Arabidopsis thaliana: one gene and its partners. The protein of the gene in region 3 interacts with the protein of the main gene of each other region in a pairwise test. Each region holds a gene or a part of one and is shown on either strand. Other genes may lie near its edges.

Region 1 (6,815 bases), on a different chromosome or scaffold from region 3:
TGAATCTTGTTGCTTCATCTGTCCTTCCAGCTCTTTTATTATCTTGACCGCCTCCTACAAAACCATCATTTGTGGTGGTTTTGAACTCTTCGACTTGTATTTCAAATGGAAACACTGGTGGATCGCGAAGAGGAGGAAATTGCATGAAAGCTAGTTTCTTCCTACAAAGTAGGATAGTATCTCTTGAGAAAGATAACAAGGCATACATCTCACTTTGGTTAAGATCAGCAATTTCACGACCGCTTTGGAGTTGCATCATCAGCTCATCAATGACATGCTCCTTGTTCTTCTTTTTACTCTTCTTCAATTGTTCTTGAAACTTATGTGTCTTCTCTTTTAGGTAGGATTCGACATTTGACTCTTTCTTCTTCTGCACGGACTTCGGTAAAGCGAAAAATTCGTCTAGGAGACCATGAGTCGCCTGAGGAGATGGCCACACCAATGGTCCAACCTTATCGGGGCTGAAAATGATTACAATAGCCCTTACAGCACACAATATGGTTAGCTCTTTCACCTTTTTAAGTAATCCTACCCTCATTTTTTGCAAACTTGTTGCTCTTGACTTGTCATTCTCGATCCATACAAGTTTTACTTTCTTTCTTGTCATGATCACTCTTCGATTTTTATTTCTCTCTTTTAAAATTTTAAATGTTGTTGAGCATATGAATGAAGATTAGCGCGGGAATCCGTTTAAATAGTGTTGAAAAGATGAGATTTTGGAAAATGATACTAGTCAAAAGATGTAAAATTAATTGCTACTTACTAAAAAATATTGAATGTCTATGGTAATGTTTTAGTTAAACCAAACCTTTTAGATCTAAACCAAGTTGAAAATATCAACTCAAAAACTAGAATTTTCCTATGTTTTGGTTATAAAGTTATTTTCAAATATCATAAATACCATAGAAAATTGACTAAAAATGAAACTTATTTTGCTAAAAAAGTAAAAGTTTAAGAACTGAATTCAAAGCTAATTAAAAATTTACCAAACTATATTGGATTTGGTTTTACATTGATTATTCTTTAAAAACAATACTAGTAAACAAAAACTAAAATCCAAATCAAACCATTAACATGTTAAAATCTTTATGTGGTTAATTGTACTATTACAGAAAATTGAAATAACTGAATTTCTGTCCAAATTTAGGTCCTAGTCAATATACCAAATTGATGATTTAATTAATTGTTCTGTCATTATTTAATGCTAATGATTATATTGACTAACATTATTTTCATTGTTGTGAATCATATTAATTCATAGTGTTAGATAATTATTTTGGAAACTAAATGTTGACTATACATTTTCTTCAGTGTAAGTATCATTTTCATATTTACATAGTATGAATTAAATATATATATATATGTATTACCATATGTATACATAAAAGTTGACTCTTGAATTCTTTATTTATAAATTGTTTTTTTTACTTCAGATGTTTTCTTGTTATTACATTGAGACTCTAAACTGAGAATTGTTTATAATTGTTTTATACAAAAAACTGAAACAACAATACTTTTAAGGGAAAAATATAAGAGAATAATATATTCTTAAAACTCTAATGGACATCTTGTATCTTTTTCTTTTTCTTTGTTTAGCGATCTTTTTTCTCTCATCGTTGTGTTGTTGTGGTTGAATGTTTTCTTTTGTGTACGTAGTAACTCTCTTTGTTTCTCGATTTTGTTTTTTTTGGATTCGGTTTGGTACTACTTTGCCAGATTTCAATAATACCAAGATATAGAGGAAAACAATAAAACTAAGCTTTATTCCACATTGTCTGGTGATCTTTCATAAACAACATTGTATGATTTGATTACCAAAATAATCGGTTCTAGAAAAGTTTATGTCAATCTCTATCTAGTATATGAATCACCATACCCATATTTGTGCACTTAAATTATTACGTAACCAAGATATAGAAAAGTGTTGTGATTTCATATAACAAATGAAAATATAATAATCTATTTTGTTGTGTTTTGTATATATAATTATTATAAATTAAATTAATTATTAATATTGAAATATTCATGTATAACCCAGTCAGATATGGGATTATTTTTAATTTAAATTTTGTATAATACTGTTAAAAGATTCGAAATATAATCATAAACAAAAAATAAAATTGATTTTTTCTTGTCAACTTCCAATAAACACCATAGTAAACAAGAAATCACAGGACAAGGGAAATACAGAAACGGAGAACTCTTTTTAGTCAAAGAAAGCTAGGATTCGGACAAAATCATGTCCAAACACTTTGAAGGATGATCGATACAAAAAATTGTAAACTTGAATATGAAGTGTTGGTGTGAGAATACCCAGCTCGAATAATGTAAATAATCTTCTCAACGACAACAATTATGCATCCAGTGATGAACACTTTTTGAAAACGTGTTTCTCTCCATAGTTTCTACATTGATGATTCCTATATTACTAAAACTTAATAGAGATATGTGTAAATATTCTCAGAGATAAACAAAATATAACTATATATAACCTCTGAAACTCGAACAACCAAACAGAAATTATCATATCCTATCAATAATTATATATTAAGGTAGGCACACTGTGAAGGAAGTGTTGAACCAATAAAATTCCCATACAACTTTCCACCATCTCCTCCGATTCTCTTCCACATATACATACTTTATTGGAACCGTAATCTCTTTTACGAATTCCTTGAAAATAAAAATCTTCAAAAAAATAATAAAAATACCCTCTTATTTATCTCTATAGGTAGTAAAAAAATCCTCCAAAATTTTGCATGCAGAGCTCCTCATAGAATGCAATCTCTTTGATTCCTCTCAACAATGAATCTCCAATGCTCTTGACCGACCTTAGGGATGCTCATCGTATATAATATGATCTTCCACAAAAACAAATTAATAGAATTCCCCCAAGATGGGATCAATAAAATCCCAAATACTCCCCCAATTATGACTATATTCTTCTTCTCCTCCAAAAGGCCAAATGGTCGAAGATCCATCTCCAACCATATAACCCGGATCCAGACCCATAGAACATACCGGATCAACCAACGGCGGTGGATGAGTTATTGATAGACTCGAACCCACCGAACCAGCTAGAGAGTTCAAATCCTCCATCGAACTATTATTATTACACCCACTTCCTCCTTGTTCCTGCCCTAACGCCACCTCATGATGAAACGAAGTCGAATTAGTTACCGGAACATCAGTGAGCTCGATGTCAGAAATCTTGTTATTGTTAGTATTAGAATGAAGATTCTGATACTGTTGGTGTTGGAATTGTCCCATCTGGACCATCTGATTTTGTTGTTGTTGTTGTTGAGGGAAAAAACCATAACTAGGGCATAACATAGAGGTCCCACCATTAAGGAAGATGTTGTTGTTAAAAGGGATACCGTACGGACCAAAGTTGGCTCCTCCTCCTACGGTGGCGGCGGCGGGGCGAGGGAGGAGAGGTCTTAGGGTTTGAGTGGAGGAAGAGGAGGTGGAAGGAGAAGAAGCGGCGGAGACGGAGGAGGAAGAGGAAGAGACGGAGGAAGGAGACGAAGGGGTTAAGTTGAGCTGAGCACGTGACCCGTATAGGTAAACGGCAGCCCGGTCGTAGGCACGTGCGGCGTCTTCGGCGGTTGCGAAAGTACCAAGCCACTTGCGAGTGCGCTTACGTGGCTCTCGGATCTCGGCGACCCATTTGCCCCAGCTTCTTTGTCGAACGCCACGGTAACGGAACTTGGAGTTGTCCGGACCACCTTTGCCTTTGCGTTTGCGTTGAGCGGAGGAAGTTGATGAGTCGGTGGTGGAATCGGATTGAGGATTATTATGGGTTAGGGTTTGGTTATTATCTTCCAGATGGTTGTGTTGATGTTGGGAAGCTAAAGGGTCCATAGATGAAGAAGAAGAAGAAGAAGAAGAGGAAGAGGAAGTAGAGAGAGAAAGAGAGAGATTAAAGAAATTGAGAAAAATAGTGGAGAGGACGAATCAAGAAGGAAGGGAAACTGAAGAGTGTTTGAATGTCATCGTTGTGAATGGTCGATTAGGGCGGTGCTTCTTTTATTTATACTTACACTCTCTTCTCACTCACTTCTTTTTTTCTTTTCTTTTTACTTACCCGTTTGTTTTCTACCAAAGAAGAAATTTGTGTTGTCATAAGTTACTTGTTACACATTGGAATGTAATCAAGGATATTATAAAAACATTTAATTGCTTTCTTTCTTTTGGGTAACTATAGCAAATCATGAGCGATATATAACAATATCTTGAAGTTGGTTCTTTTCTTTGATTGGATGGGTAATTGTGAGAAATACTCGCATGTTGAAAACACTCCAAGGCATTCAGATTTCAGAGGATTCAACCAGAGAGAACTGAATCAAATTCACCAAGGTTAGGAATATTGCAACATATATAAGAGAAATAAGCGTGTTCAAAAATATATATTAAGAGAAATAAGAAACGAATAATCTAAGATGGAACAGAGATATCATTTTTGTTTGTTTTTCTAAGTACTTGTCAATTTAAATTGTAACAAAAACATAGCAAAAGATAGGCAATTTAAAAGATTAAGAAGATCAAGTGAATAAAACAGTAGACAAAGATAACAAAGAAAATGATTTATGAGTTCAAGAATTAAAAGCATCGTTTAAAGTTGGCAAGCAATGAAACTAGAATAAATCATTACATAACGGCTAACGGGGGCTGATTAGCCATAAATTGTAGAGAATGAAACACTAATCAATGAATAATTACAAAGCGTGGCATGAATTACCCAATTTTGTTCAACTCTCTTGCAATTTAAGTGGTTAACAAGCATTAACAGATAAGTATACTAAAAAGGATCAAGGTAATTAATCTACCATTACCAACAACCCTAGTAAAAGATCTAAATGCATTTTTAATAGTGATCTTTATATTTTCCTCTATTTATAGAGGTGACTCTATTTTAAAGGCATTATGTTCAAATGGTCACCTCTAAAATAGAGTTTTCTCTATAATAGAGGAAGAAATAGAAATATTTACTTTTTGTCTCTATAAATAGAGATCTCTACAATTCATCTCTAATTTTTCTTCTATTTTTGAGGAAACTCTATTTTAGAGGTGACCATTGGAGCACAATGCTTCTAAAATAGAGGCACCTCTAAAATAGAGAAAATTATAGAGGTGACCATTGGAGATGGTCTAACCATATTCGCCCCTAATTTGGTTTTAATCTAACTTTTAGTGTTGAACTTAACCGAAGCTTCTATACTTGATGATTATGATCTTAGAGAAAAATTTAAGCTGTTGGGAAATCACCTTATGATACTATTTTTTTGATGTTTTATCTTTATACGTAAAATAAAATTGTAAACATAGATATAATTAAGGGATCGGAGGAAAAACATCTGGTACAACACGTATCATATTTTTGGACATAAGTAAAAACTAGAATCATATTTCTGGAGTAGTACTTGTTAAATTTTGGAGAAGAAAAATAAGTTGATTTGCGCACTCGGAGAGTGTTGCAGATCCATTGCCTGCTGCAGCCACTGGAGGGACAGAAATACAGATGCAGAGAGACACAGTAATTATTTTTCTGCTTTCATTACATAGATATATGTGTTCATTTAGTCCACTTAACACCATTCTTGGAAGACGACTTGGCTTCAGTCAAATACTTCGTCCGATAGATTTAGATTTTGGATACTACACCTTTTATTAATCTTAAAAAAGAATTATGTAGAAATTTAAAATACTCACATGTCAATGGATAAATAAATAAATATATTAAAAAGAGGAGTTATAGTGTAGATATTTATGTACGCTTCTTCTTTCTTTTTTTGTCATCATTTATGTATGCTTCGACTTTAAGAAATATTAAAAACAAAATATAACTGACATTTTTTATAAGAAAAGGAATTTTGAAAACAGAGAGAAGAGAAGAGAGTTTATTTTTTTGGTCGCCTAGAAAGACTAATCTACCGTATAGATTATGATGTTTGACCCACAAATATAACAAATGGAAGACCATTAACGTTTAGACTTTTTTCGAAATAAAAACTTGACTTCTTAGATCTTATACCATTGAAATTAAGAGACAAATTTTCTTAATATTCTTTTACTAAAAGTAAAAATAAATAAAATAAGAATTTGTTGAATTATCTATTGTTCTTATGAATGGTAGCATATACATGACTCCTTTTAATCTATAAAACATAACTCTTAGAACTATCGTCATAATAACAAGTTTACTTAGAAACTTTTCATTGATACTACTAATATAGAATTAAAGATTCGTCTGCAAGGGATTTACTTTTGTTGTTTGCCAACTACAAAACTATCAATTATTAAACGAAGAGAAAAATAGGAATATTGCATGGGAGAGATGAGGTGGCGAGGAAAGAAGCAAAGACAGCAAAAGAACCAAAGCTTTTTGTGTTGTGGTTTCTGAGATCTCAACCCAATTGCCTTGGAACTCTCACCTTTTTATGTCTCAGCAGAACCCAACTAGTTGCGCCATACATTCATTTTCTTGCATTTATCCACTTTATTATATAGTATCAATCAATATAGCTTGATTATTCCAATCTCAATCATTCACGTGAAATTTTGTATAACAATGACTCAAACATTTGATAACATTAAAGAGACATTGTTGAAGGCTTTTTTTTTAGTCAAATGATTTCCAGATGCTTAAGTTAAAATGATGACTATATCAAAAGGCAAAGAATTTCAATGCTTTGCTCACTAAGTTCTGCAACGGATCAAATATATGTTTCGAAAGATAGAAAGTGTTCATGTTTGAATATTTTCATATAAAAAAAAGCAAATGGTTGTTGCGGCAGAGGAATATTGTCGAGCAA
Region 2 (10,644 bases), on a different chromosome or scaffold from region 3:
TATAGACACATGTAATTAGTTGTACCTTGTAAAGGTGGATTATCTTTTCTTAGGCTATTTTTTTCTTCTTTCTTTAGGGTTTCAATGGATTTGGTGACTAACTTTTGTTGGTTGCCCATTTTTTTCTTTTCTCCTTTCAAATCTTAAACTTTTCAGTATGTGCTTCTTTTGGGTTCTGAAAATTCACTTTATAAAAAAAGCTCTCTTTACAAAGGAAAGCAAAGTCTTTTATATGGGTTTTGTTCTTTAATCCTATCTTTAATAAAGTGATTTGAAATTAATTAGAAGAATAAAGAAATAAATTATTATTTTTCTCTTTCATATCTATTATAGTCTTATAGAGATCTGACTCTGTACTTTCTTGATCTTATGTAGGATGAAATTATATATTTATATTTGAAATTCTCGAGTATGCTCATATATAACTTAGATATATTTTAAAATATTAGAGCATGACTAGAACATATATATATAGTTCATACTAATATCGTATGTAACTCACTATCCGGATTCAAACTCGTCTACCGTATATCGTCCAAAAATACAAATTTGATTTAGTTTGTTATCTCACATGGCCACATAAAATGTAAATTAGCTCTATAAACGTATGGTTAGGGTTTAAAAGGATATCATATTGATATTAATGATCAAAGTTTCTTTCCGAGGCTTACAACTTTCAATACTAATGGTTCCATATTCCACAGTAAAAAAGGACATCCATACAATTAATAAAGTCGATAATGTTTGATTATTGCTAGATAAAGTGGGATATTGAATAAATAATTAAACTTTATACGTGTTTAGTTTCATTGAGAAAAAGGGGCACTTTTCCTTGAGGGTACATGCTTTGAAAATCTTTACTTTCGATTTAGAATTACAACTTTTTTTAGAAAAAGGATGGAATTGAGGAGAATTATTTAAAAAAATTAATTTCGAATTTTGGAAATTTGAAATACTCATTACCCGGGTTTGGGATTGAACGCAAGACCTAGCTAATGTACGTAGGATACTACCATACTAAGCTCTTGATCAATCATTAAACGGGCACTTTCAACAACAAAAATGTGTAGACACAATTATGCTGTATGTTTCTATCATCCAGCTGAAGTTATAATTCTGTCATCCATACTTCTATAGTTCAAGAAACATTTTTTCCACAAAAACTGTTAGTACTTCAATATCCCATTTAGAAAAAAATAATCCCATCACATGTCCACAAGCAAATTTCTAAGATTTAATATTCGATATTAATAAATGCGAGACAGACATTAAGAAATTAATACAGTGCACACAATAACATAATCTCTATTATTTTTTAATCTTTTGATTCCAGTGGCAAATAGTATAAGAAAACAATTAAAGGCCACAACGTAAGCGAACTTCACGGCTTAAGTGTTTTGAGACCTCTACTTGCCAACTCACTTTTTTGATATTTTTTTAAAGTTTTTTTTATATCATCAAATCCATAATCCATTAAATTTTAAAAATAATATTTCTCCTTCAATCTTTTTAAACTGCGCGATTGCTTCAAGAAACGGTAGCACAGCTGACACAAAACTGATACTCTTCCATATAGTTCAGAGATCGAATAGAAAAACATATTTTTTTATAATGCATTTCAAACAAAAACTAATCTATTACTTCCACTACGTAAAAAAACGTAGCATTGTATATATTTTATATTTTCATTTCGTGAAGGTATATATCACGTACGACAAAATTTACTTATAAACTACACAATAAACACATGAGATATTCGACACAATAAGAATTACTTGCATAACAAGATTAAACCCTTTTATAGGTTGTCTCTCCGCAACCTAAGGTGTCGTGCATAGAGTAATTTAGAGAGGAGAATTACAATCTTAATTAACTAATCAAGCAAATATTATCAGAAGATGCACCTAACGTATAAAGTTTTCATATCTCCAAAATAGAATCGTGATGATATCTGAATTTTGATGGTAGGGCCGTCGTTGTGGAAACCACGAGTCTCAGGTTGAATTAATATTTATGCTATGGAAGAAATCAAGAATGCAATTAAAGATGATATAACATCAAGAATCCAAATACTTTTTTTTTTCATGAGAAGAATCGATTACACTGACTTGTGTTTGGATTTGATGCAACAAGTCTCCAGTTTTGGTCTCCTTTTCATTGGCATTTTGTTTATCCTCCCTGACAATATTCTTAAGATGGGTCTATGAGAACATATGCTTCTCATTCGTAACTTGAAATATATCGAATAACCGTAAACGTGAATCATTACTTTGTTTTGTCGTTCAATGTTGCTATTGCCGACTTGCTTTGATGGTAATATCAAGTCAAATGTTGATCTTGTTTATAAAATTTAGTGGTACTACAAAAAAAAAAAACTATGACCATGGATTCTTCTTAGTTGCTCTAGGATAAAAGTCCATGACTAATTTAAGTTTAGCTCTTTATGGTCATGAATTTTTTTTGTAGCAAGCTCGTGGCTAAAATCCCAAGTTCTAGAAAGTTTTCCTTAAGATGAATGGGCATTATAGATTTTACTTTCATTTTTATTTCTTGCACTACTTTATTTTCTTGAAGATACAGATCACACTCGACAAAATTTACTATCACCTACACAAATCCACACATTAGATATGATACAAAATACAAAAAATTCTTGCAGGACTAGCTTGAACCCCTTTTCTCCATTTATGTCGTTCAGAGAGTAGATTACAAAGATGAAATGGAATCTGATAAAGGGCTTTTACGTATCACTCCATGTATCGCTTTCATCTCCATCTTTGCTAGCTACAGCCTGAAAAGAAGAAAAGAGTGAGTGATAGATAATGTTGTGTTGGATTTAAGACAAAAAGTACTTAGATTCTGAAATAAAGATTAGATTTGCTTTGGATATATATAGATGCAGAAGTTAGAGGATGAACCTGGCGTATTGAGTTTGCTTTCTCCAAAATCGCGCTGATCTTAGTGTTTATGATAGGGTCAGTTGTTGCAGTAGCCGATGATGTCGTTGTCATGACCACAGGCCTAAGGTTGAATTGCTTTGATTTGAAAGAAACCAAGAATGTAGCAAAAGATGATATAACAAATCAAGCATCAGAATATAACTTTCTTTCACAAAAAGGAACTATTTGCACTCACTTGTGTTCGGATTTGTTGCAAGAAGTCTCCAGTTTCAGTCTCCTTTGCGTTGGCACTTTGTTTCTCCTCCCTGACATTATTCTTCAGATGGGCCTATGAGAACATATGCTTGTTAAGATTCGTAATTTGAACTATATTGAAAACGATCATCTGGAATATATGGAACTGACCCACACTGTAGAAAAGTAGGAAGAAAGAGTCAAAATCTTCTCCATACCTTAATTTCTGGTTTAGGAGCAGAAGTCACCATGCTAGGCAGTTCGTTCTTAGCTGTAGGCAATGAAATATGCTTCTCAAACGCAAACCTGAGAGCTTCTTGTAGTTGTAGGGACTGTGTTTTGTCTTCCATTTTCTCTGAAGGTGTCTTTGAAACCATCCATTGCATGGGTGGAAATGGCGGTGGTAAGGGCTCAGCAGGATTTTGGAGATATGAGAGGTTTACGGCGACGCAAGAACTTTCTGATTTGATCCCTAGAGGGGAAGCTTCAGCATTGTTATCAACATGCCTACTTTCGTGGAAAGAATCATATAGTTCTTGCTCTTTTCTTCCATGGCTGTCACTGGATTCTTCCCACGGCTCAGAATTTGACAAGGAGTGATTATCGCTAAGATAATCGGTATCTGACATGTAAGGAGATGATCTACAAAAAGTGTCGTCGTCAGAATAAGAATCAGGAAGGGAAGTTCCAGTCTCTGGAAGCAACTGGAAGGAGGAAAAGGTATTGTAAGTGTTGTCTCCATCTGAAAATTTAAGCTTCAGTCTCGAAGCCTGAAGAGTGTCAGCGGGATTGAGAGATATTTTCATGTGTTGAAGAGGCGGAGACGAAGTGATCCAATCAATAGGAGCTTCGTCTCTGAAGGGGTCCATAAAGGTTTTCTCATTAATATCTTGGTCACAAAACCTCCTCCTCTCTGTAGTCACTTCATCGTTCTCTGGAATCGTTGCTGGTACAGTCTTTCTATCATGTGCAAATGAATCCTTTCTGCGGAAACCACTAGTAAGAAACTTGTGGCTGAGTCCAAAAACTCCAGAAGAAGTCTCATGGGACTCTCTTTGGTCTACAATACCCATGACTATGCCATTTGAACTACCTGGATTTTGGGTTCCTGGCGTTGCTAAGCTTGAATTATTCAGAACATGTCTATGTGAAGCATTTTCAACTAGATCATCTGCTTTATCTTTTTCAGCTTCTGCAAAACCAACTGTCCTTTCCTCGGTCTTGCAATCTGGACTTAAAGAACTTGGCATTGCCAAGACTGGAGGTTTCGATGGTTTCAGTCCCAATAGACCACCATTAGTCCATATTTTAAAGGCTTCGAGATCCCCAGAAGATTCAGCTTCTGTTTCTTGATTTTCCTGTAGGCCATGATGAATCAAGGGGTTTGATGAATCAACTAAGCTGTTCTCGAGACCTGGCACAAATGTAAATGTGATGGTATCTTTTCCACCAGAATCATTACGCATATCCTTGTTTGCACAAAGATCATTTTTTTGTAAGCGGTTGATATCTGAACCCGCCTGTAGATTTTGTTGATGCATTTCAACAGATACATTTTCTGACGATGCATTCTCTTCATTTTTAAAACTGTTGGCCATAAGCCCATCCATTGATCTGCAAGAATCTTCGACACTGTAGGAATTCTGCTCTGTTTCTTGCTCACACACTGACTTTTCCAACCTCTCATCTGCAACACCACAGGAACTGCTCACTTGACTAGTTTGAAGCCCTTGATTGTTTTCAGATTCTGATTCGATAGTATTAAGCGCATCAACAAAACACTCCCCTTCGCTTTCAGTCTCTTGTTCACTATCCCTCGGTTCTCCCACAATCTCCCGACCATTTTTTATCTCTCTTACCTCATCAATCCCAGCACGTTTTCGTAGTCCTGATTCTGATTTATCATTTTCATTGTCCTTAGAATGGAAATCAACTCCACCTATCCCTTCCCCATAGCTTGGTTTCTCATCTAGAGTATCTACAACAGAGTTCGCCTCCACCATTTCAGAAGCTTCATCTGTCTGCAGACCAAGAGATTCCACTATCTCTGCTTTCTCATCCCAACTAACGCAAGAAGAGCCACGAGCAGCTTGCCCTTGAGAAGGACTAAACTGGAAATTATCATGAGCATCTTCGGTTTCACATTCAGAAAGGACTGAAGCAATAGTGCAAGAGCCTGGTGTCAAGCTGGATGAAACGAACACCCCTTTCGGTCTTTCTCCAGTCTTCAGTGAAGAAGTTGCAGTTGAAAGGCATTCATTGTAGCCTGAACCACTTCTGGACTCAAAAGAGCGAGAATGATGATCTTGAAAATCATATCTTTTTTCCATGTCACTGGTTGAGGTGGTTTTGGTAGAAGAGGTTTGTCCACTGAAGCTAAATGAAGCAAATGTCTTCCTGGAGTGAACTATGTCTGAGTTAATTATTCTTTAGGTGCACGGAAACTTAAATATGCCAACAATATCTATAATTTACCTGGCATTCTGGTTAGCCAAGGAGGCCAAACGTGACATATCTCGACTCCTTGACGAAGTTTTTTTCTTCTGTCCATGCCAGAAAACAGATATATATGTGTCAAGTAAAAGAGAATTCTACAGAAAATGGTTTACCAATTTAATCTGAGAACCACACCTTCATTTTACAATGCTTTTTATCTTTTTGGAACTTCTTGTTTCCTTGACTCAGGTTGCTTGATGCTCTTCTGAAATAAGTAGGATCTGAGTATCGCTTCAAGCAAGATCCAGGACCATTTATATCAAATCTGAGAAAATAAAGCAAAGAATCAGTATAACATGATGGATTATAGTACATAGTACATACATATCAGATATAAATATTTTAGCTTGAGGCATACTTATCAAGCAAGTGTAACCGTGGAGGACCCCTGCATTCTTCATAGGGATCCATAATAATGTGAGGCAAGTCGTCATAAATTAAGTGATTTTGCGTAATTGGGATACGAGGATGCCACTCCAGACCTGAACCCCATTAAACTCCTTCAGTTCACAAGATATAAAGTAAGAAAAATACAAGCATGACCACTTTCTCACCACCCATTACTTCCACGGTTTCAATACAATAAATAAAAGTTTGCCAAGGGGAACCAAACAACTAATACTATCAATTCAATTTTAAGTTAATCTATTTTAAGGTTTTGCAGAAGATACAATGATTTAGTTTCTCAATCATTCCAGATTCTAAACTAGCCTCGTCAGAGAAAGTTTTAGTTTTAGGGTAAGTGAAAAAGCATGTGAAGGCCTACAATGAACTAAGGATGTGACATAATTTATTAAAAGAATTAATGTGAAACCTAACAAGAATCAGACACCTTGGGTCAAGACAATAAGAAGATTGACAAGAGGGAAGAAGACAAAACAAACCTCCTGTGTATGCAAAATGTATATGAGTTGTTTGTGCAAGCATCGCCTTTTCTAGTGGAGGCACTGTAGCTTCTATATGCTGCAATCTAATCTTTAACTGATTGCTTCTTGAAGCTGTAGCCATAACTTCCTCCTGTATCCCATGAAATATCTCTGCTGCAAACCTTAATCAAGAGAAAAAGCAATCGATAAGAAAGTTTCTTCCTTTGTGCTAAAATGACCCTTATCAACCAGAGATCACTCCAAACCCAAACTAAGCTTGATATCAGAGCCGACATAAAGAGTCACCACATAAGGAGTTGCTAAGAAACATAAACTAAGCTCATGAAACAAAACTAAACACAGCAAAAATGGAGAATGATTGATAGAAACATCACAACAATCATAGAATCATAAATGAATAAAGCTTCTTCCTTTTTGCTAAAGCTTAACTCAAAAACTTCAAAGGATCATGCAATCAAAATGGGTTCCCAAATTTGTAGCTACAAACACCAATTAGATTACCTTAAACAAGTAAAGGCAATTACTTTCACACAAAGTAATGATTCTCATCTTTAACTTCACCACTAGCTCAAAGAATCATTCAACAGTAGAGATACCCAAAAGAGACGCAACATTAGCTCGAATTGAATACTTACTCAGCGAGATCACCAAGCTGACGCAAGACCCCAACAAGTCCAGTAACTGCAACACCATTGAGAATTGCTTTAGGGTCTTCACGATCGACATTTCTATACACCTCGCTTTGGTTCATACCGTATACATTCCGTGGCATTTTTTCTCTTAAAAGGTACAAAACTGTCACACATTGAGATACAAAAAGTTTTGTGGCTAAAGCATTAAGAGAGCTGGGAAAAGGATTAGGAGAAAGAATCAAAAGGTTTTTTTTTGAAGAAATTGAGAAAATGGGTTTTGATGAAAACGAGAAAAAGGTTAATGATTGTTGATGGGTTTCTGGTGAGTGAGATTGATGAGGCAGCTTAACTGCTCAAAAACAGAGAGGGAAATTTTGGAGGCAGAGAGGGAAAGAGACTGTGAGAGAGAGAGACATTGACATTGCCAATATCGCAAGCCATTCCTTTCCAATTTCATTTACCAGTGGGGGGTTTACAGAAAAGTAGAAAGACCAAATTACCCTTGTATTTTGTGTGTTATTACGTGATGGGGTTTTGAGAAAAGAAGGATTTTATTTTTATTTTTGGTTCAAAGAAAGGTTATTGGTTCGCACGATATGAACATTAAATTCTAATTTTGATTACAGAATAAATGTTCGATTTTGTAATTTAAAAATGAAGTGGTTTTCGGAAAAAAAGTGAGAGAATGTCAATGTCAAATAAATGTTTCGTCAAGTTTTGTAGTTATTTGAGTAAGGATTTGTTTGTTTGTCAATAAATAAAATTGTTGGGTTGGTTACATGTTGAAACAAAGTCCAACGAGTGAGATGGACATATTACAAATAGTACGTTCTAGTATGATACAATAAATGTAGACAATTTTTAATTGTAATCGTGGAATTCCACATTTATAATTCTTGGAACTAGGTAAATTAGTTAAGCATATCCGATGCAAAGTGGTTTCTCCAATGCATTCAAGACTCCTAGTTTTCTATACAAGAGTTAAAATCACTTGCTCTTTATGTTTACATCCACCAGAATGTTTATGATTGGGAGAACAACCCCAACAATTGAAGAAGAAGAAGAGGCAGGGATATTATGTCTCAAGAATCTCACTACAAAAAAGGTTAGTTGTATCAATTAACTTGCAACAAAAATTTAAAAAATACTAATTTGAATTACTTATTTACAATCGATACAAAAATTATAATTTAACATCAATTGCAATAACTGATGTCGTATTAGTTTGTGTGACATCAGTTCATTAAAATTAATGCAAATCTAGGTCTATTTGCCTCACTTTCACAATATTAATACAAATATGTGAATTTTAATCATTTAGAAAGTGATACAAAATTTAAATCAATAATAACCGATGCTAATTACAGATTTAGCATCAGTTGCACTAACTGATATAATTGTTTATTCAATTTGTTTACATACCACATATCTCCCACAGAAGGAAAAAAAAACCTCCATAATTTTTTTATATATGTAAAGTTACATAATTCTGGTTTTAGATGGTGTCCAAAAAGTGTAAAGTTACTATCCCAACTAAATTTAAGTGTTCGCTTAATATTAATTAATAAAGATATTTGTTTCATAAAAACTAATTTAGTATTATTTTATAAGTTATTATAATTAATATAAACACTTAAAATTATTTATTATAAATGTTGCAAATATTAACGTTATTTTGATAAATTGATACAAATAATAAATCACTTATATTCAATGATGCAAAATTAATATCATTTTTTTGCAACTGATGCATATTAACATCGATTAAAATAATCACTACAAACAAACATGTTATACGGTAATGTTTCGACAGTTTAAGAGTTACTATATATGGAGGAGTGAACAAGGCAAACAACCACCAAAAACCAAAAAAAAAAGAGATAGCTACTAATATAGATCTTGGAGCATGCCAAATTTTACAAGAAAAAGACCCAGAAGATTATACTTTGGGGAGAGACCAATTTGGGTTAAAAACAAGAGGAAATCAAGAAGCAGTAATGTCATTAAGCATATAGAACACGGAAAATCATCTTCCAAGTGGTTTTGTTCAAGTTGACAAGAGAAGAGAGACATTTTTTTTTGTATCCTACAATTCGAACTTGCATGGAAGAAGAGACATCAAAGGATTTCAAAAGAACCCAAAACCTCATAATAAGACTCAATTGTATCTAAAACACCAACTTTGATATTGAAGAAAATCTTAATTTCATTCTCAACTAATATAAGAAGAAGAAGCATAACTAAGAGTTGTTGGTGTTATATAGAAGTGGGAGGAAGCCATACAGGGAGGCTGTCAAACTCAACCCCTTATGGTGTTTCAACTTGGTCTTCAAAATGACGGATACTTCTGGTGGCGATATCGTAAACACCAGATATCATAAAATCTGATCTTTTATGAACAAATTATACTTGGCGTTCGCTTTGTCTTTCATCCATCAAACATTATATGTATGATTGTATCCAAAAAAAAATAAAAAAATCATGTGATATGAAAGTTTTTCTCTTTCGAAAAAATAATCTATGCATTCAAAACAGAGTTCTAGTCTATGTTAACAATGCCATGCAATTTCATAATTATTTCTTTCTGCCTAAAATCCTTTGTATCATCTTTCTTATTCTCTTTCTGTGTAATCTACCTTCTACCATAACAAAAACCGAAGTTCCATAAACAGGTAATCTATTTTTGTTTTAAATTCTTAAACTGAATACAAAATATTTATCCTTTTGTTATAAGTTTTTTATAATTGCTTATATTTTGCTTATTTGGTAGAGTTGTACTGATTAAATATTTTATTGTCATATATGAGATAACTATATGGATTTTCTAGAATTAATATCTTTATAATTTTGAAATGAAAGAAATTAGAACAAAACAAATTTTAATTTTGCTTTAGACTTCTGTTATCTTTCGACGGGGCTTACGTCCATATAGTGTTTAGATTTAATTTATCAAACAATGAAGCTTTAAATTCAAAACAAATATTAAACTCAAACCTGATAATAAGGGTATGTATGACTGTAATATATAATCATATAAGAGATAGCAAATAAGTAGATATGATACAAACAATTTGTGTTAACACCTAGAGTCATGGTCTCATTGCTCCTACAATCATATATTCATATGTCTCGACCATTTTGCATATATAGGTTGTATGAAGTGTTGTCCATACAAAATAATATAATATCGGTGTTTGTTCGATTAATATTTTGTTCCATATTTTGTATTCAACATATTGCTCTTGTTGTAAGAAATATTATTGAATCTGTTTTCTGTTGTTTTGATTAGTCAAATTAATGAGCTTCCAACACCAGCTATAATGTGGCGGGAAAGTCACCAACAGTGAATAAACCAAATTTCATTGTGGCTTTGTAGTTTCAAAATAAATATTATACTCGAACCTGATGATAAAAATACGTATGATGTAATATACAAATATATAATCATTAGAGAAGCATGAAAATAAGTAGATACGATACAAACAATTTATGTTA
Region 3 (9,262 bases):
GGTAGTAGTTTATACTTTATAGCATAGTTATTGGTTTTCCAAAAACCCATTTAATTATCCAATCAAGATTAGAGTTCGCATTTTTGTAAACAAAATGAAAAATAAATCCCACTTTAATGAGTTTTTGATAATTGTTTGCAGATTTCTTTTTGTAATTTTAAATCAATATTTTTTCCTTTTGGCAAAATCTATAATCCAAAACCACTTAAAAACTCAAATATTCATGGCCAAAAGTTGTTTTCTTAAACCTAAGCATATATAGATAGGAAAACAATTTCTAATATACTGTATTTTACAATGGACTAGTAAAAGTTTATGAATGATGTGAAAACAATTAGATATACTGAGTCACAGCAGACTAAAAAAAAATTTTTTTGTTGAAATAGATATCAAGTTTGGCTTTTAGTAATATAGAAGTGTCTGAATTTGGTTAAAAAATAATCATAGATAAAGAAATTTATAAAAGGCATCTGATGGTTACTTTGATTCTAATTGACACTTTTGTTCCAAACATTTGTTACAAGTCGGGAAAATTATTTATTGTTGTATACCTCTAAGGTGGCTACACCATTTCGAAATTCAATCCTTTTGGAAAATGAAAAAAATATCTATACATTTTTTTTTTTTGAACAACAAAAAATATCTATACATGTCGATCATATATTCATATGTAGAAAAAGGCATATATTGATGATAATAAGACCACATAATTAGAGCAATATATGTTCTCCAGATATAAATCTCATGCAACTTTATAGAAGAAGAAGTTAGAAACATGAGGAGTCCTTGATTAGATTACTGAGACAACTATGTATGTCACGTCTTTATCAACATCTGAAACTATTCAACTACCACGCTGCTCCTTTTGTAATCAACTTCACTTTCATAAGATCAGATTATTTCATCAACTCCACTTTCTTTTTTGTTTCTCATAGTCTCATTATAAGTCTTTTGTTTTCAAGTTGTCAACCGTCTCACGGCTTTCTAGTAGGGCCTGAATGGAGAAAGGTGTGGTGTGGATATTTGGCACGGGTCAGATCATTGTTTTTTTGAATATCTCAATTCCTTAGGTGCGGTCCAGTTTTTGGGTTTAACCAAAAATAAGAAAGAATAATGATGTATCACAAACAACACACTTATATGAGGAAAATTATAATCCTACCTCACTTGTTTTTTTCCTCCAAAGATTTTCGTTACTCAATAATACAAAGGGTTCAAGCTAACTAGATAAACAAGAAAATGATAGAATCAAAGTGGTAAGGAACAACTCTTCTTAAAATGTCCATATGTAAACATTCTATTTACAAATATTTACAATGTGAATATGTGAATGATATGGATAATTTTGTACATATGTCCATATGTACATTAATTATCATTTTGTACATTAATTATCATTAATTATCATTTTTACTATCATTAAATTGTCCATATGTCCATATTTACAAATAATTTTGTACATTGATAATGATAATTAATGTACAAAATTAATTATCTCAATTCCTTCTTAAATTGTCCATATGTCCATATTTACAAATAATTTTGTACATTAATTATCATTTTTATTATCATTATCAATGTTTGTGTAAAAATATTGTATCATTCAACTCTTCTTAAAACATTCACATTATAAACGATATGTAAGCTCGACTCAAGAAATGAGCCACATATGTAATATTAACCAATTACAACAACAAAAGAACTATATAATCATCTCTCCAGAAATATAACACAAACACCATTTCCAGAATTAATCATCTCTACAATATCCTGAAGGTAAAAAGAGTAAAGAGTTATAAAAGAACCGACTCGACAAGAAAAAGCAAAAAATGGAGTAAAAACCCGGACCCCGACCAAACAGCTTTAATCATGACCCTCCATTTGTCTTCAAGATCCCATGCATGCACGAGAAGTGGCACACTCGGGTACGCTGCCATTTTTTCCTTTTGCCCTCTTTCTTATTTGGTACATAATAATATTTATATTGTTTCTTTTTGTCTCTGTTTTTCATTTAACAGTTTGAGAAGTTGGTGAAGCGACCACCACATTCGCCGACGGAGAGTTATTGTTTATGTTCCTTTGCGACTTGTTTTGTCTCTTCGTAGCTGCTGACGACGGTGGGGCCTCCGGCTTTTGTCCGCTCGGTTGTCTTACTTTAACCCCTCGTATCAACTGTCATAATATTATTCTCAATTAATTATGACAAGATAAATACCAACAAAAGTAATGATGAGAGTTAAATACTAATGAAAAGTATAGAAAAATATTGTGATGCTTCTCTTACATATTTGCCACATTTGACGTCGGAGTATATGACTATGAAATCACCTTCTTGGAGCCCATTGGTTTTCACAAAATCGCCTGTAAACGTAATTTCAAGGAAAATTAGATATGTATGCGTCCACAACAATAATTACAAGAGAACAAACAAACCAAAAGAAAGGAAAATTATTAACGGGTACATTTTCAAAAACGTACCGGTGTTCTCGAGGAGATACATCCTGCTTTTGTTGTTAGGCCAAAACCTGCAAAACCAATTTAAGAAGACAATTAAATAACCGAAAAAACATTTTGGTCGAGTTCCAATTTTTGACAAAATACACGAATTGTTTTTATAAAAAGAATCAATGTTAACATGTTAGCATCATAATCAGTTACCTGTAGCGCATGTTCCAAACACGAGAGGTTCCGATGTCTTCCATGGCCAGAGAGATGCCGTCTCTTGCCTCTAGCTCCGGCAAGTGTGTCTCAGCTTCTTTCTAAAAAAAATAAAAATTCAGTAAAATATAACTTAACCAATAAGAGTAAAAATAAAATAAAAACTTGACAATATTTTTACACAAACATTGAACCTTTTTTAGAAAATGGAAAGCAAAGGCTACAAGAAATTAGAAGAAAAATTACTTTTGGCAAAACGATCCTTCCGAGGTTACCCACGTCGCTTTGCTTCAAGACTTTCTGCAAGAGAAACCGCAAATTCTTTTCTGGTTTCCATCCCTAAAATCAAACCAAAAAGATCAAAATCATTTCATTTCCATTGCAAATGTATAATCTTCCGATTCACATTTTATCAAAAAAAACACATGTAAAATCTTTAGCTTCTTCATCAAACCAAACGAGTGGTGCAATTACACAAACTATTCGAGTATTGCTAAATTAAAGAATAAACAATGAGAAAGATGATTGTGCATGTCTACCTGCCGGCGATCTGGTACCACCTGCTGACGTGGCATAGCAGAAGCTGAGCCAGCTCGGTCCATGGTAGGTAACTGAGTCTCCATCACTGGCGGTAATTGAGGCGGCACTGCCGGGACATTAGGCCAATACATCCAGGTCCCTCCCGTGGCGGTTGTGGCCACGGGGTTAAGTTGTGGAGCCACCGCGGCACAGGTTTCTCCGATTTGGGTTTGGTTCTGCTGATTATTGTTGTTGTTGTTGTTGTTGTTGTTATGTCTGTGGTGATGAGACAAGAACCTCCTCTGTCTCGCCATCCGTTTCTTTCTTGCCTCTTTAGTTGCTGAGGAACACAAACGGAGTAATCTCTGATCTCTCATTTGTCCTGCAGGAACATAAGGATATTGGTACGGATTCATGTTGTATCCATTGAAACCTGTTGGATCTCCAAATTGATTATACTGCGAGGTTGGCGGCATGGGGAATTGTTGATGTGGCATGGGACCAGACTGTGGTGGTGGTGGCCATGACGGTGGAGATTCAAGTAAAGGAAGGAACTCTGGCTGTGGCGGATAGTTTGGAGCAGGCATGTATCCAAAACCCGGGTCCGAGACAAAAGCTTGTTGTTGTGGTGGTGGAGGAACCCATGTTGAAGGTGAGAAACAGGTTTGGTCGGACGGTGGGATTAGGTTGTTGTTATTAGGGTTAGGGTTTTGAAATGGATCTTGTTGGAATGATTGTTGATAAGAGAGGTTGGTGGTGGTGGTGGTGGTGCGTCTTCTTTGTAAGTGATTAGTTTGGACCCATTCAAGAATCAGCTTTAAAAGCTGCTTCATCGCTTCTTTACCACCGCCTAGTCTTCTTGCCGCTGATTCAATCGTAGCTTTCTTTATCTTTACTTTCCTCAAATCCTCAGCCGACACAGTCTCCTTGTTGTTCTTTAGCCACTCCAAAAACACAGCAGCGAGATCATCGTCCTGTTCCAAGGAAGAATTCATCATTTGCATGTCTCCACCACTGTTATTCTCCATCATCGGAACAACGACCTGGTCTTCTTGTCTCTCAAGGGTTTGGTCCATCAAGTTAGGGTTTTGCGTGTCGTCGTCTTGGCTAAATATAGCTGAGGTGTCAAAGAACTCGTTGCTATCAAGTAGATCCATGTACCCGAAAGTCTCCATCATATCAATGCAATCACCACCGCCTTCGCCGCAACCAAAACCTTGACTGCTGTCTAATGGAATCTCCATGGAAGCTGTGGATTGCAATGCACCAGAAGAGTCGTCACAGTTTCCTGATGCGTATTGGTTTTGGTTTGGAGTCGGATCTTCTCCATCTGATCTCAATATAGCCCAAGAAGCAGCTGAGGAAGTGGAGGAAGAAGCTGCCGAAGAAGAAGAGGCTGAGGAGACGATTGCGTTGACAGGAGCTGGAGATGTTGAAGACGATGATGAAGACGACATGCATGGGAAATCAGGAAGCGTTGGGAGATCTCCATAGAAGATTGAAGGGTCATGATGAACAATCAAATCATCATCTTGATGACCATGAACATGATTATTATCTCCTCCATGGTCATCTAACCAGATCTCTCTACCAACTTCATCAATTCCATCCATCAAAACAGTATCATCAGCGTCTCCACCGAGTATTCCACAATCCTCAGCCAGATCTCCGGCGTTGGCCGCCACATGCAAGCTTTTCATCGTTGAAGTGGAAATGAAACAATAAACTAGATTGGTGGAGAGAGAAAAGTTAGGGTTTTTAGTATTTTGTACGGACAGATAGGGTTTGTATGTGAGTAAGGAGGCAAGGAAAAAGAAAGTTAACCCAACTTGGCTATCATCGAATCTTTAAACAACATAAACTATCTGGCTATACATATACATATAAACCTTCTATACTACTATATAATCTTTTGAGATTCAAAAAGAACTCTTGATAAGGTTAAAATTATACAAAAGAGACGAAGGAGGATCCAAAGCATATGAAAAGATCCGACCTAAGCTAACTATTTTCTCCAACTTCAGATGAACAAAGACCAATTGTAAAGAGGTCTAAAATTTTCGAGTCTAGATCTGAAGTATACGAGATGTGTTTTGTTCACAAAGATTGGTCTTTGGTTCTAATAGAACAGAGAGAGATGTTTAGGTTTTACTCTTTTAGAGAGGAAGAACTGATGAACAGCTAATAAGTAATCTAAAACCGTTTGGGTTTACTCCAACAAGAAGACTCTCTCTTTCTTTCATTTTATAAATTATGGAGAGATGGTATATATATATTTATAAAACTATATAATAAACATGGTTAAATCCCTCAAAAAAGAAAATAAATTAAAATAAGAGAGCCCATGTGTTCCAGTTTGTTCCATGATTTATATGGAAGTTTTTTTTTTACTAATATAATTCAATTGTATTGTATAAAATATGTTAGATTAAACTGAACTCTTTTTTTTTTCTGGCGGTAAGTGTAATTTTGGGTTTAAGTTATTCTCTTTCTCTTTGCAGCATTCAATTACCTCAGCAGAAGGAAAAGGAGAGAGACAAGAGTTTTTAAGAAAAAGAGATGTAACAGTTTTTCAGCATTTGATTTTTCAAAGAAGACAAAAAGCAAACGTTTAAATTTGTGGCACTATTGACAAAATTGTTGAGCTCATAATACTTACAAACATTTAAAATTTTATTTAGATAGTAAATCTCCCCTCATCTTCTAAGAAATAAAAACAAAGTTCCTCGAGAGAAAGACATTGGTTTTGAAATTAAATGGTGCAAAAAGCCATATTTAAGTCGATAAAAAAACTTAAAAACAAAGAGAAAATAGAAGTCTCCTCGTGCCGCTAGTATCTAAAGGTTGGTACAGGAGTTTGTGCCCACGAGCCATACGTTCGAATTTGAGTGGTGAGACCAAGCGGTGGTTCTTAAACACTTCTTTTGTATAAAATATTATAAATTTTCCAATTATCAACTTTCTACTTCCTATGTGCAAATGGTCACTTTTACAAAAGTAAGTTTCCTCGGTCGGTTTTAAATTATCTGGCCAAAAAGATTCGAAAAACTTACACTTTCCTATTGAAGTGGAAGAGGCAGACACGGATTTTATTACCCTAGAACAATTACTTTAACATATTGTAGAACAATGTATGTTTTTGTGAGTTTTTTTTCTTCTTCTTTCTTTTCTTTTTTCTGCATGAGGAAAACAAAACAAAACTTTTAGTGTATTTGTAAAATATTTAGTTACAAACAGGGTTCGACCTTGCCTTCAAAATGAGATTGAGCAGATCATGTGATACCTGTTGTAGAAAGAAATAGGTACTTGTATTTATTACATTTTAACACATCAAAATTTTAGTGTATTTTTTTTTCTTGGGAAAATTCCTATTTTCCCGATTACATTTTAACACATCAAAATAGGTACTGTGTTTTATAAATCTGAACAAACAATTAGTAATGTTCATACTTTAACATTTAAAAAATTCAAATTATCTACCTCAACTCTTACTTTTGTACATAATTATGAGTCAACGTTAGTTATGGTAATTAACAGTAACGGTTGTTGAATCAGCTAACACTTGTACGTCGAGATGGCATGTTCTTCAAACCAAATGACGTTGTTTTACGTTTTGAGATTCAAAAGTTTTAAAGGTTACCATTACCATCATGCACGAACATCATCAATATATAAATAATAATTTATAGATATATACACATACATAAATTGGAATTAAAATTAATCATATAACGTCGGTTAGGATTTCCCCAATTCTAAATGACATTGTTTGATTAATTTAATTCCAATTTGTTGCTATATATCTATAAATTATTATTTATGTCTCGATAATGTTTGTGGATACGATGGTGATGAATATGTGAGGTTGGGGGTTCCAGTTTTTCGGTTTAGTTTTTTAAAAGTAAATATTTTTAATCCCAAAACATAAAACAAAATTATTTTATTAAAAAACATGCCACCTAAACGTACACGTATCAATTGAGTCAACAACCGTTACAGTTGACTAATATTTGTTAATATTGACTTGTAATTACGTACAAAAGTAAACGTTGAGATAGATAATTTGATTTTTGTAAGCATTGATGTATATATCAGTACTAGTCGTTTGTTGAAATTCAAAAACATACTTTAAAAATTGTTGGGATCGAAAAACCCTTTTTCTTTAGTTTAAAATGAAATCTAAAATGTTAGAAAACCAATTGTAAAAGAACATGTGAACTTTGTTTTACTATGCGTACTACAAGGAATACAATTTAAATCAAAATTTAGGTACATTAATCATCGGATCGTCTATGATACAATTGATAGTGAACAAATCAAAATAAAATTAGTTATGGGATTATTTGCTTTACCAAATAGTATTAACATTAGTCACAAGAGGGTGATAATCTAATAGTTTGCCGTATTTTCCTAAACTCTAATGAAAGTTTCATGTCTTTTCAAATAAGTTATAATAAATGTAGTTAAATTTTATGGTCTTGATCCATAAAGTGATGTAAAATCAGTGTAAACTACTCGAAAATAACAAAAATATTTTAAAACATCTATTATTTTCCCAAATTTATTTGGAAGGATTTTAAATTCCCAAAAATATCTATGAAAATAAAAAAATTTAAATTTGAGTATTGATGACGAGAAAAGGATTTATGTAACATAATTTAATCTTGGCTCCAAATAATTTATGGTTTTCAGCCTATTTAATAAAATTAGAAAAGGTTCAATTATATTAGAAAACAAATAAATTAGTGGTATTATTATTTGTTGTGTTTGTGTATTTGGACGATGAAAAATATTGTACACTAAAAATTGAAAATTTTATTTGGAACAAAACTAGGCAAAAAATTAATATATATATATATATATATGATATTTGTGACTTAATTTATTTAATATATATCCGTCCGTAACTAATGTATCTTTTTTGCAAATTTTGGAGATTTGACTAAAACTTTAACATCAACTAAAAGAAAAAAAAGAAAAAAAAAACTAAGAATAAAAAGCATTATTCATTTTAAACTTTTTCTTTAATTTTTAATAGTTCCAGCATCTTCAAGTTTTTTTTGTTTTTTCTTTTCTTTCTAAACTCTATTATAAAATAATATTTTTGTCAGCATCACTATATGTTTTACTCTAAAATAGAGTAAGTAATAGAATTATTGTCTATTTAGAGCATCTATATTCTCTATTCTAGTTTTTGAATCTAATTCTATCCTAGAGTAAATATATAAATTAATATATTGGAGAAACTATGCTTTAGTTTAAAATAGAAAATAGAAATATATTAAAGATGGTGTAACTAAATCGATAAAAAGAAATTTGTTAATAGATTTAATTATAGCACATATATATTGACATATATCACGATTATTCACATGTACTTCAATAAATTGGATCAAGCAAATAACAAAACCGATCTAATCTTACATACAAATTATCAAACTCTAATTTAGAGTCATACGTACATCACCAACCTTTATCTTCTTCGTTCAAATATTTCATTTTCTACGAACAACCAAAATTAGTAAAGACAGAGAGAAAGAGAGAGATTGGTTGCACATGCAAACAAAGAAGCCTTTCGTCACCATTCGTGGTTTTAAGCGGCGGGTTGTCTTCATATGCTGCCACGTGTCAGCATTTCTGACTTCAAAGCAATCTTTATCCCTTGTCCGCCAATAACTACGTTTTACTTCTTCTTTTTGTTTTTTTCTTCGTCGACCTCTTTCTCTCGTGTGACACAACATCTAACAACTAAAACCACAAATATCGTATTTTAGGTCGTATCTAGTTAGATGAGAACGTATCTAGTAAAACTTAACATGTTTTTGTCCATGATCAGGGAAATTATAGTAAGGCATCAAATACAAAAGTTTTAGGTTAAGAAATAGAAGATCAGTACATATGCGTACGCATACGCATATGCAAAGTTATAAACATAATCTCTATAATATATAGATTATGTTTCTTGTGTGCTAAAACTCATTATATATTATTACACAATTTGTTTTTTCCGTTAACGACTAATATAGCTACACGTAAACCCTTCCGTAAAGAAAAAAAAATCTGCGGCTTATCTTAGCCTTTAGTT

The links. The genes of interacting proteins can lie anywhere in the genome.
Region 1: the proteins of ABI3 (region 3) and ABI4 interact in a two-hybrid assay, tested with the Arabidopsis thaliana proteins (one study listed by BioGRID).
Region 2: the proteins of ABI3 (region 3) and WAVE2 interact in a two-hybrid assay, tested with the Arabidopsis thaliana proteins (one study listed by BioGRID).

Annotation. Positions count from the first base shown.
Region 1 is NC_003071.7:16,793,722-16,800,536, forward strand, and holds ABI4 (Integrase-type DNA-binding superfamily protein), read right to left. Parts: upstream 3,865-6,815; coding exon 2,878-3,864; 3' UTR 2,526-2,877; downstream 1-2,525. Other genes in the region: AGL48 (AGAMOUS-like 48), read right to left, coding at 1-607.
Region 2 is NC_003070.9:10,187,612-10,198,255, forward strand, and holds WAVE2 (SCAR family protein), read right to left. Parts: upstream 7,603-10,644; 5' UTR 7,290-7,602; coding exon 7,153-7,289; intron 6,679-7,152; coding exon 6,515-6,678; intron 6,113-6,514; coding exon 5,989-6,112; intron 5,896-5,988; coding exon 5,766-5,895; intron 5,678-5,765; coding exon 5,610-5,677; intron 5,532-5,609; coding exon 3,353-5,531; intron 3,229-3,352; coding exon 3,136-3,228; coding exon of another isoform or gene 3,109-3,135; exon of another isoform or gene 3,036-3,108; coding exon 2,919-3,035; intron 2,792-2,918; coding exon 2,741-2,791; 3' UTR 2,526-2,740; downstream 1-2,525. UniProt on the Arabidopsis thaliana protein: Involved in regulation of actin and microtubule organization. Part of a WAVE complex that activates the Arp2/3 complex. Regulates trichome branch positioning and expansion.
Region 3 is NC_003074.8:8,993,526-9,002,787, reverse strand, and holds ABI3 (AP2/B3-like transcriptional factor family protein), read right to left. Parts: upstream 5,419-9,262; 5' UTR 4,878-5,418; coding exon 3,198-4,877; intron 2,998-3,197; coding exon 2,905-2,997; intron 2,760-2,904; coding exon 2,659-2,759; intron 2,526-2,658; coding exon 2,479-2,525; intron 2,362-2,478; coding exon 2,285-2,361; intron 2,173-2,284; coding exon 2,008-2,172; 3' UTR 1,603-2,007; downstream 1-1,602. UniProt on the Arabidopsis thaliana protein: Participates in abscisic acid-regulated gene expression during seed development. Regulates the transcription of SGR1 and SGR2 that are involved in leaf and embryo degreening.